Linked DNA regions of Stegostoma tigrinum. The protein of the gene in region 2 interacts with the protein of the main gene of each other region in a pairwise test. Links are inferred from orthologs where the notes say so. Each region holds a gene or a part of one and is shown on either strand. Other genes may lie near its edges.

Region 1 (3,751 bases), on a different chromosome or scaffold from region 2:
ACAATATATTAAATTCCCACACTAAGACAAAGATGGCCAATAGCTTAGCCAAAAAGATATTGACGCTTAAATCCAGAGGACCAAAAGAAAGGCAGAGATACTTACAAAGTTCTAGAGCTGAGCCTTGGCAAGCAAGGATGAAGTTATTACAATCAGAAGACTCAGGAAGCCAGATGTTTGAGTGGTAGGGTTGCAGAGGCAGATTTGAAAGCATGGTTGCAAATAATAGATTGATCAGGAGCCAAACAGCAGGTTAGCAGGGGAAGGATCTACAGGACTTGGTACATGGGCAAAGTTTTGGATTATTTTCAAATTCATAAAGGGTAGAGCATGGAAGACCAACCAGGATTACCCAAGGTAGCATAGGGGTCAAAAAACATGGATAAGGGTTTCAGCAACATTAAGCTGAGATAAAGTGCCCTTGTCTCAGCCACGTTCAAAAACATTCAAGACAACAACATAAAGAAACCTACACGTTTACAATAGTAGCATGTCCTGATTCACTTGTGGTTGATTTGATTCCAGTACATCAAGAAAATTGTTAACAAAATATATTTTGTGGTCTTTAATTAATTTCAGAACCATCTCAATGAACTCCTACATAAAGCAGAGTCCTGAAACCGAACTTCTAAATTGACAGTCATTGCTCATATGCAGGATACTATGCAGCATTGATATGGAACAATTTTTGAGCTTAAGCCATAAAACCATTTGGAAAGGAATAGCAAAGTTTTGAACAAATATATTTACAGCTGAACAACACCTAATTTAAAGGAACAGAAAGGGGATTATTTGCCTATTTACACAAATTTAAAAATTATGATTTTGAAATTCACACTGATGGAACAAACTCAATATCATTGTCAAAGCTAAGAGATTACTTTCATAAATTGCAGCAACAGCAAGCCCCACATAGATGGAAGACCTCTTTTCACACAGGCTAATTATAATAATGGCAAATACCTAACTAGATATAAACAGTTCAACAATTAATAGTAAGTGCTTAAATAAAAGTTTCTTCACGATACCACCAATCCCTTGGATCTCCTTCGCAAGTGTTTGAAATTAAGACAATGTTCTGTGCAAATTATTATAGTGGACATGCTGGATATCTTGAAGGCTAATTTAAAGTTTAATTATTTAATTCCATATTTTCCAGCATTCAAACATTTATGATAAACTACAGATTTGGAATACTTCTTACATCACTGGATACTCAATTTCACATATTTTTGAAAGTACACCCATACACACAACATACTGCAAGCATATTTAAACCCAGCTTGTAAGAAGTACTAGTTCAACCTTACACTTAATGACAAACATATGACTGATCTAGACATTTAATTCAATGCATCTAAAGACACAAAAACGTACTAAAGATTTCTGAAATCAAAGCTATTCGATCCTTAACGTAAATCAAACAAGTTACATCAGGTTATTTTGTCAATGCTACGCTTTCTGCCTGTCTTTTGCGTAAGGGCTCTTTTACCTGGAGTAGTCCCTGGCAAGGCCCAAAGATGCTGTTGATATACTGTAACATTTGTCCTAAAATTAAGTATTTGCGATAATTTAAGGTTTTCAAAGTGTTCGATAATCCCGCTTGTAACTGGACCCCTCATCGACTTTCCCACGTTGCAAAGTCTATACTGCACCTGCCAAATAATGGACCCTTCCAAAAAAAATCACGAATACATATTTTCCTTCAATAGCGGGCGTGGGGTGGGGGAAGACAGCAAATTGTGTAAGCAATGTTTCGCTTTATGAAACCAACCCTGATTGAGAAAGGAGCGGGGCGGGGGGGGTGGTTAAGGAAAGAGATGAAGCATCGAGAAGAATCTGGAAGACATTAACCGTCGAGGACGAGATTACCCTTGAAGTCAAGAAGAAAAACGTGGGGTGGGGAAAAGGGAAAGAAAAGTCTAACGCTGGAGCGGATAAATAGACGAGGCGAGGAAGGGGCCGCTAGCAACACTCCCTGTCTTTCCCGGTTAATACTCATGTGTGCGCGCGCACGCAGGAGAGTGGGATAACTATTTATAAAGATCTTTTTTCTTTTCTTTAAAAAGCTCAGCAACAATGCAACCTCCTCCCGTTTGCGTGACGTACATCAGGGTGGTGGGGGGCTGTTGTTTAAAACGTTGACCATCCAACTCCAAGGGGAGGCAGAGAGACACACGGAGTGAGTGTGTGTGGGTCTCCTCCAACATGGCGGACAGGAAATGGCAGCTGAAGAACATTCCAGTGAGCCGGCATCATCATCATCGCCGCCACCAACACTACCACCATCACCACCATCCACAGGCCGGGGCCTGCGGCCTGCCCGCCCCGACTCACGCCGGCAGAAATAGAGCAAAAGACCGCCAACCGTCTCCCCTCTCCCCCAGCGGCACCGCGCCTCATTCCCTCAGAAAAGAGGCTGTGAGTGAAGGAGGAGGTGGAAGGAAAGACGAGACAGACGGCGACACGGTTACCAAGAAGAGGCGGAGGAGGTGGTGGTGGTGGTGGGAATATTAGATCCGGCACGGCCTTCAGGGGCCTAAAGAGTGTAACTGAAGCCACCAAGGTCACCACGATCCGCGGCTGCAAACCTACACCCCCTCCCACCCCCGCAGCCCCCACCACCATCATCAACCGACATTTTTTTTACGTAACCTCTCCCCGTCAATAACATTTACACCGGTTGATAAGATCTTCGGTTGCGCTCTCACCTGCTTTCTTCTTCTTTTTCTTCGTTTTCTGACCGTCTGAGACATCGCTTACTTTGGTGATTAGGTCGCCGGCGGCCTGCTGCTGTTGGGCGTCTCCATTGGTGAGAGGAGCGGGAGCTGAGGGCTGCTCGCGGCCGCACTTTTCGTCCATTGAACGAGGGGGTGGGTGTGGGGGCGGGGGGGGGGAAGAGAGAGGGAGAGGGAGAGACAGACAGGCAGACGGGGAGGTGGCACTGCGCCTGCGTCCTGCGTTTACCCGACTGGCGGCAGCTGATTCGACACACCCGGGCCTGATCTGCTGCTCCTCCTCCAACTGTTTCTTTCCCCTACTCCTTTCGCTGGTCTCTGCCCCTCACCGCACGCGTCGCGCTCTACTCCGAACGGCACATTCGACACGGACCTGCTTCCTCCACCACCCCCCCACACCTCGCGTGGCGAACACAAGACCCAATTGTCTGATGAGTTGGCGCGAGGGGCTGACGTGACGCGAGGGGCTGAACGGCCTCTTCCTTTTCCACCCCCGTCAGTTGAAGGGTCACTGAACTGGAAACGTTAGCTCGGCCTCCCTCGGCACAGGTCGGTGCTTGACTTTGTTGAGAAATGGATAGAATAGCTCTTTACCGTCGGCGGACAATTTCTAGGGTTTTGTATTTTTTTTGCGCCTCGGCCGACAATTGCTTTTCTCTTTTGTCTTTCCGCGCTTTTTCTCCTTTTTAAAAAAGAAAATAAAACCGCAGACGCTGGAAATCAGTGACAAACTCTCGGCTTCCGAAGCAGGACCACTGCACCCGAAACGTTAACTCTTGATTTCTGTCCACAGGTGCTGCTGTGACCGCAGAGTTTTTCCAACAATTTCTGTTTTTGCCGGCCGTGCTTCCATCATCCAGCCTCCCAAACCGCCTACATCTTCCCCAGCTCGTAAAATCTTCCTTTCAGGGTAACCATAAAAGACGGATTGGTAGATGCAGGCCACTCTGCCCATCCAATCTGCAGGCTTCTCAACCAGATCTTTGATGATCAGATATTCCTCAACTCCAGCA
Region 2 (3,751 bases):
TGAACTGCGCCATATAAATGCCAGTCTTTTAATCAACATTTTTAACACAGTTCCACCATAAACGCCATCTACCTGACAAACAGCAATACTTCTCTTAAGGCTGCATCAGATCTTATTCCAGCTGTATCTAATTTGTTTTCTAGAAATCGTACAGTACTCAAGTATTTCAATGTTAAAGTATGATATCGCTCATAAAAGTTATGAGACTTTTACTAAGTTTAGATCACATAGGATCCATGGGGTGCTAGTCAATTGGATTCAAAATTGGCTTGAAGGTAGGAAACAGAGGGTGGTGATAGAAAGTTGCTTTTTGGGCTGGAGGCATGTGGTCAGCGGTGTGCCACAAAGATCGGTGCTGGGTCCACTGTTTTTTGTTATTTATATAAATGATTTTGATGTGAATATCAGAGGGAAGTTTGCAGATGACACCACAGTAGACAGTGTAGAAGATGGAGATTAACTTAAATAAACATGAGGTATTACATTTTGATAAAGGCAAAAAAGGGTAGGACTTATACAGATAATGGTACGGCCCTGGGGAGTGATGCTGAACAGAAACCTAGGGGTGCAGGTGCCCGATTCCTTGAAACTGAATTCACAGATAGACAGGGTGGTGAAGGCAGCGTTTGGCAAGCTTGCCTCCATTGTTCAGTAGATTGAATACAGGAGTTGGAACATCATGTTACTGTTGTACAGGACATTGCTGAAGCTACATTTAAAATATTATATTCAATTCTGGTCACCATTCTATAGGAAGGTGTTAAATCTTTTCTGAACCTGCTCAAGTTTATCACCATGTTTCTGGGACTGGAGGGTTTCCGCTGCAGGGAGAGGCTAAACAAGCTGCGGCTCTTTACCCCTTGAGTGTCAGAGGCCAGGGGTGACCTTGGTAATGTTTATAAAGTCATGAAGAGCATAGATACGGTGAATAGCCAAGGTCTTTTTCCCAGGGTGGGTGAGTCCCAAACTAGATGACATAAGTTTGAGACGAGAGGGGAAAGATTTAAATAGGACCCAAGGAGGAACTTCTTCATGCAGAGGGTGGTACATGTATGGAACAAGCAACCAGAAGAAGTGGTGGAAGCGGGCACAATTACAACATTTAATAAGCATCTGTATGAGTACACGAATAGGAAAGGTTTAGAGGAATATGGACAAGTGATGGCAATGGGACTAAATCAGATTGGGATGTCTGATTGGCACACTGGACTGAAGCGTCTGTTTCCATGCTGTATGAACCTATGACTCTATGGCAAGTCTCAAAAGGGAACACAATACTACTGACTGAATTAGCTTGCGCTACGAAAGTTTTAACCAGGAAATAAACCAGCACACAGTAGAACTGTAGGATTTGAAAATCAAAGTGCATTGCAACAAAGCTGGTTTCAAGTGAAACCAATTTCAAAAAAGTACAGGCCATTCAGGGAAGTAACCAGCTTTGATTATTTCACAATTTCTTTGCAGTTAAATGCTTACAAATAAAGTGAAGTTGGTATTAAAGAATATTGCTCGAACAATGGGCACGCATAACAATCCAGAAACTTGTATACAAGAGGCAACACAAAGCCAAATATGTGCGTAAGGTATGAACAAATGACAGCTTTTAATGCATTAAGCGCTTCTGCAAATTATAGCATGGCACACCCTTATCACAATCTGCTGTACTTGGGTCACTTCTCTTGCATTTTACTTCCTTTCTGTTCCCAAATTCATGCCAACTGAGTACGTGTCTGTGATTGCGAGGGAGCTCTAAGTTTTGAAACTGAAACAACTTCTTTTAAAAGAAATTCACAAGCTCTTACCAAATACACTTAGCATGGGGTGGAATGTTTACATGGCTTTTCTGCCTGTGTGATCAGTAAGGAATTTCTAACTTTACTGACAAGCATTTTAATGCTACTTACATATGATTGTACATGTTCTTATTTTTAAAACAAAAAAAAGCAACTGATGTTAGTCCCAAGGAGTAATTTACAGAATTCACTGCCCAGCAAAGACTAACAGGTTAACCCCTCAGAAATCCACAATATTAACAACACACAGTTTCAACACAATTCAGCAAGGGAATCGCAACTAACTGGTGAACAGGAGAGTTACTATTCTGGTTTGCTTGAAGTAAGTACACAATCTCATCTACACTCAAATGATTCAGCTGCTGGTTAGTTCAATTTGAAAAGATGTAAAACTGAAAATACCTGACACTCCAGCTTTCACTCTGGGAAACTGATCTTAGACACAACGGTGAAGAACTGGACTGCTGGTCTGACAGCTCCCTCTTGTTCTAGCACGACATATCATGTGACTGTGAGGAAATGAGTACTGTACTGCAAGACAGAACAATAGGGGCAGTTTGAACTTTGTCAAGTTTCTGCTGAGTTTCAGTTGCTCCACCGGCCAAAAATTCAACCTGTTTGTCAATCTGAATTTTAATCAAACAAAATAAACATGCAGCAACAGTTTGAGAGGGATATGTATTTGAATTGAATGTTTTCACATGCAAAAAAAAGCAATTGCAGATAGCTCAACCAACATCTTGAAATAAAACTGAATATAACTTCCAACAAGAAGGATGTGTGAGAGGCCAGTTTAAGTCTTTTTTGAAACTTTTAGATTAATTAGAAGTTATCAGTCCCCATGATTTCAAATAAAAACAAAAAAGAACTGCAGATGCTGTAAAACAGGAACAAAAACAGAAGTTGGCTGGTAAAGCTCAAAGGGTCTGGCAGCATCTATGAAGAAAAAAACTCAAGAGTTAACATTTCGAGTCTGGTAACCCTTCCTCAAAGCTCTGAAGAAGGGACACCTGACTCAAAATATTAACTCTGATTTTTTTTTCACAGATGCTGCCAGACTTGAGAGCTTTTCCAGCAACTTCTGTTTTTTGCTGCCCAGGATTTCGAACATGTTCATGAACCAATCTACACAATTAGGTGATGCATCAAGGCAATCCACAGAGACAAAACATGTTGCCGCTTCAGCAAATAATTCCAAATAAACTCGAGTTTGTTACGATTACAGTACTGCTGCATATTTTACCTCTGAATTGCACGTGCATTTGCACACTCCCAGTTCCACTTTTGAATCTTCCAGTATAAAAAATTTAATAACTAGGGCATGGTTCCCTACAAAGCACAATCTACCTTCGAATGGATAAGATCTATTAACTGTACAAATATTTACAGAAACCATCATTCATAAGAACATAAGAACGAGGAGCAGGAGTAGGCCATCTGGCCCCTCGAGACTGCCCTGCCATTTAATAAGATCATGGCTGGTTTTTGAGACTCAGCTTCACTTACCTGCCCACTCACTGTAACTTTTCATTCCTTTACTGTTCAGAAATTTATCTAGCCTTGCCTTAAAAACATACAGCGAGGTAACTTGAACCACTTCACTTGGCAGGGAATTCCACAGATTCACAACCCTTTAGGTGAAGAAGTTCCTCCTGACCTCAGTCCTACATCTGCTTCCCTTTATTTTGAGGCGATGCCCCCCAGTCCTAATTTTACCTGCTAGTGAAAACAACCGCCCTGCCTCCACCTTGTCTATTCCCTTCGTAATCTTATACATTTCCCCTCATTCTTCTGAATTCCGATGAGTATATGCTCAGTCTACTCAGTCTCTCCTCATAATCCAACCCTCTCAACTCTGGAATCAATCAAGTGAATCTCCTCTGCACCCTCTCCAATGCTAGTATATCTCTTCTCAAGTAAGGAGACCAAAACTGCACACAGTACTCCAGGTGTGGCCT

Evidence for each region. The genes of interacting proteins can lie anywhere in the genome.
Region 1: the proteins of progranulin (region 2) and nufip2 interact in binary tests that used the Homo sapiens proteins (3 or more experiments, as listed by UniProt). The link is inferred for Stegostoma tigrinum from reciprocal best matches to the Homo sapiens genes GRN and NUFIP2.

Annotation. Positions count from the first base shown.
Region 1 is NC_081380.1:31,902,894-31,906,644, forward strand, and holds the start of nufip2 (FMR1-interacting protein NUFIP2), read right to left. Parts: upstream 2,902-3,751; 5' UTR 2,863-2,901; coding exon 2,712-2,862; intron 1-2,711. UniProt on the Homo sapiens protein: Binds RNA.
Region 2 is NC_081384.1:30,758,827-30,762,577, forward strand, and holds the start of progranulin, read right to left. Parts: upstream 2,325-3,751; 5' UTR 2,196-2,324; intron 1-2,195. UniProt on the Homo sapiens protein: Secreted protein that acts as a key regulator of lysosomal function and as a growth factor involved in inflammation, wound healing and cell proliferation. Regulates protein trafficking to lysosomes, and also the activity of lysosomal enzymes.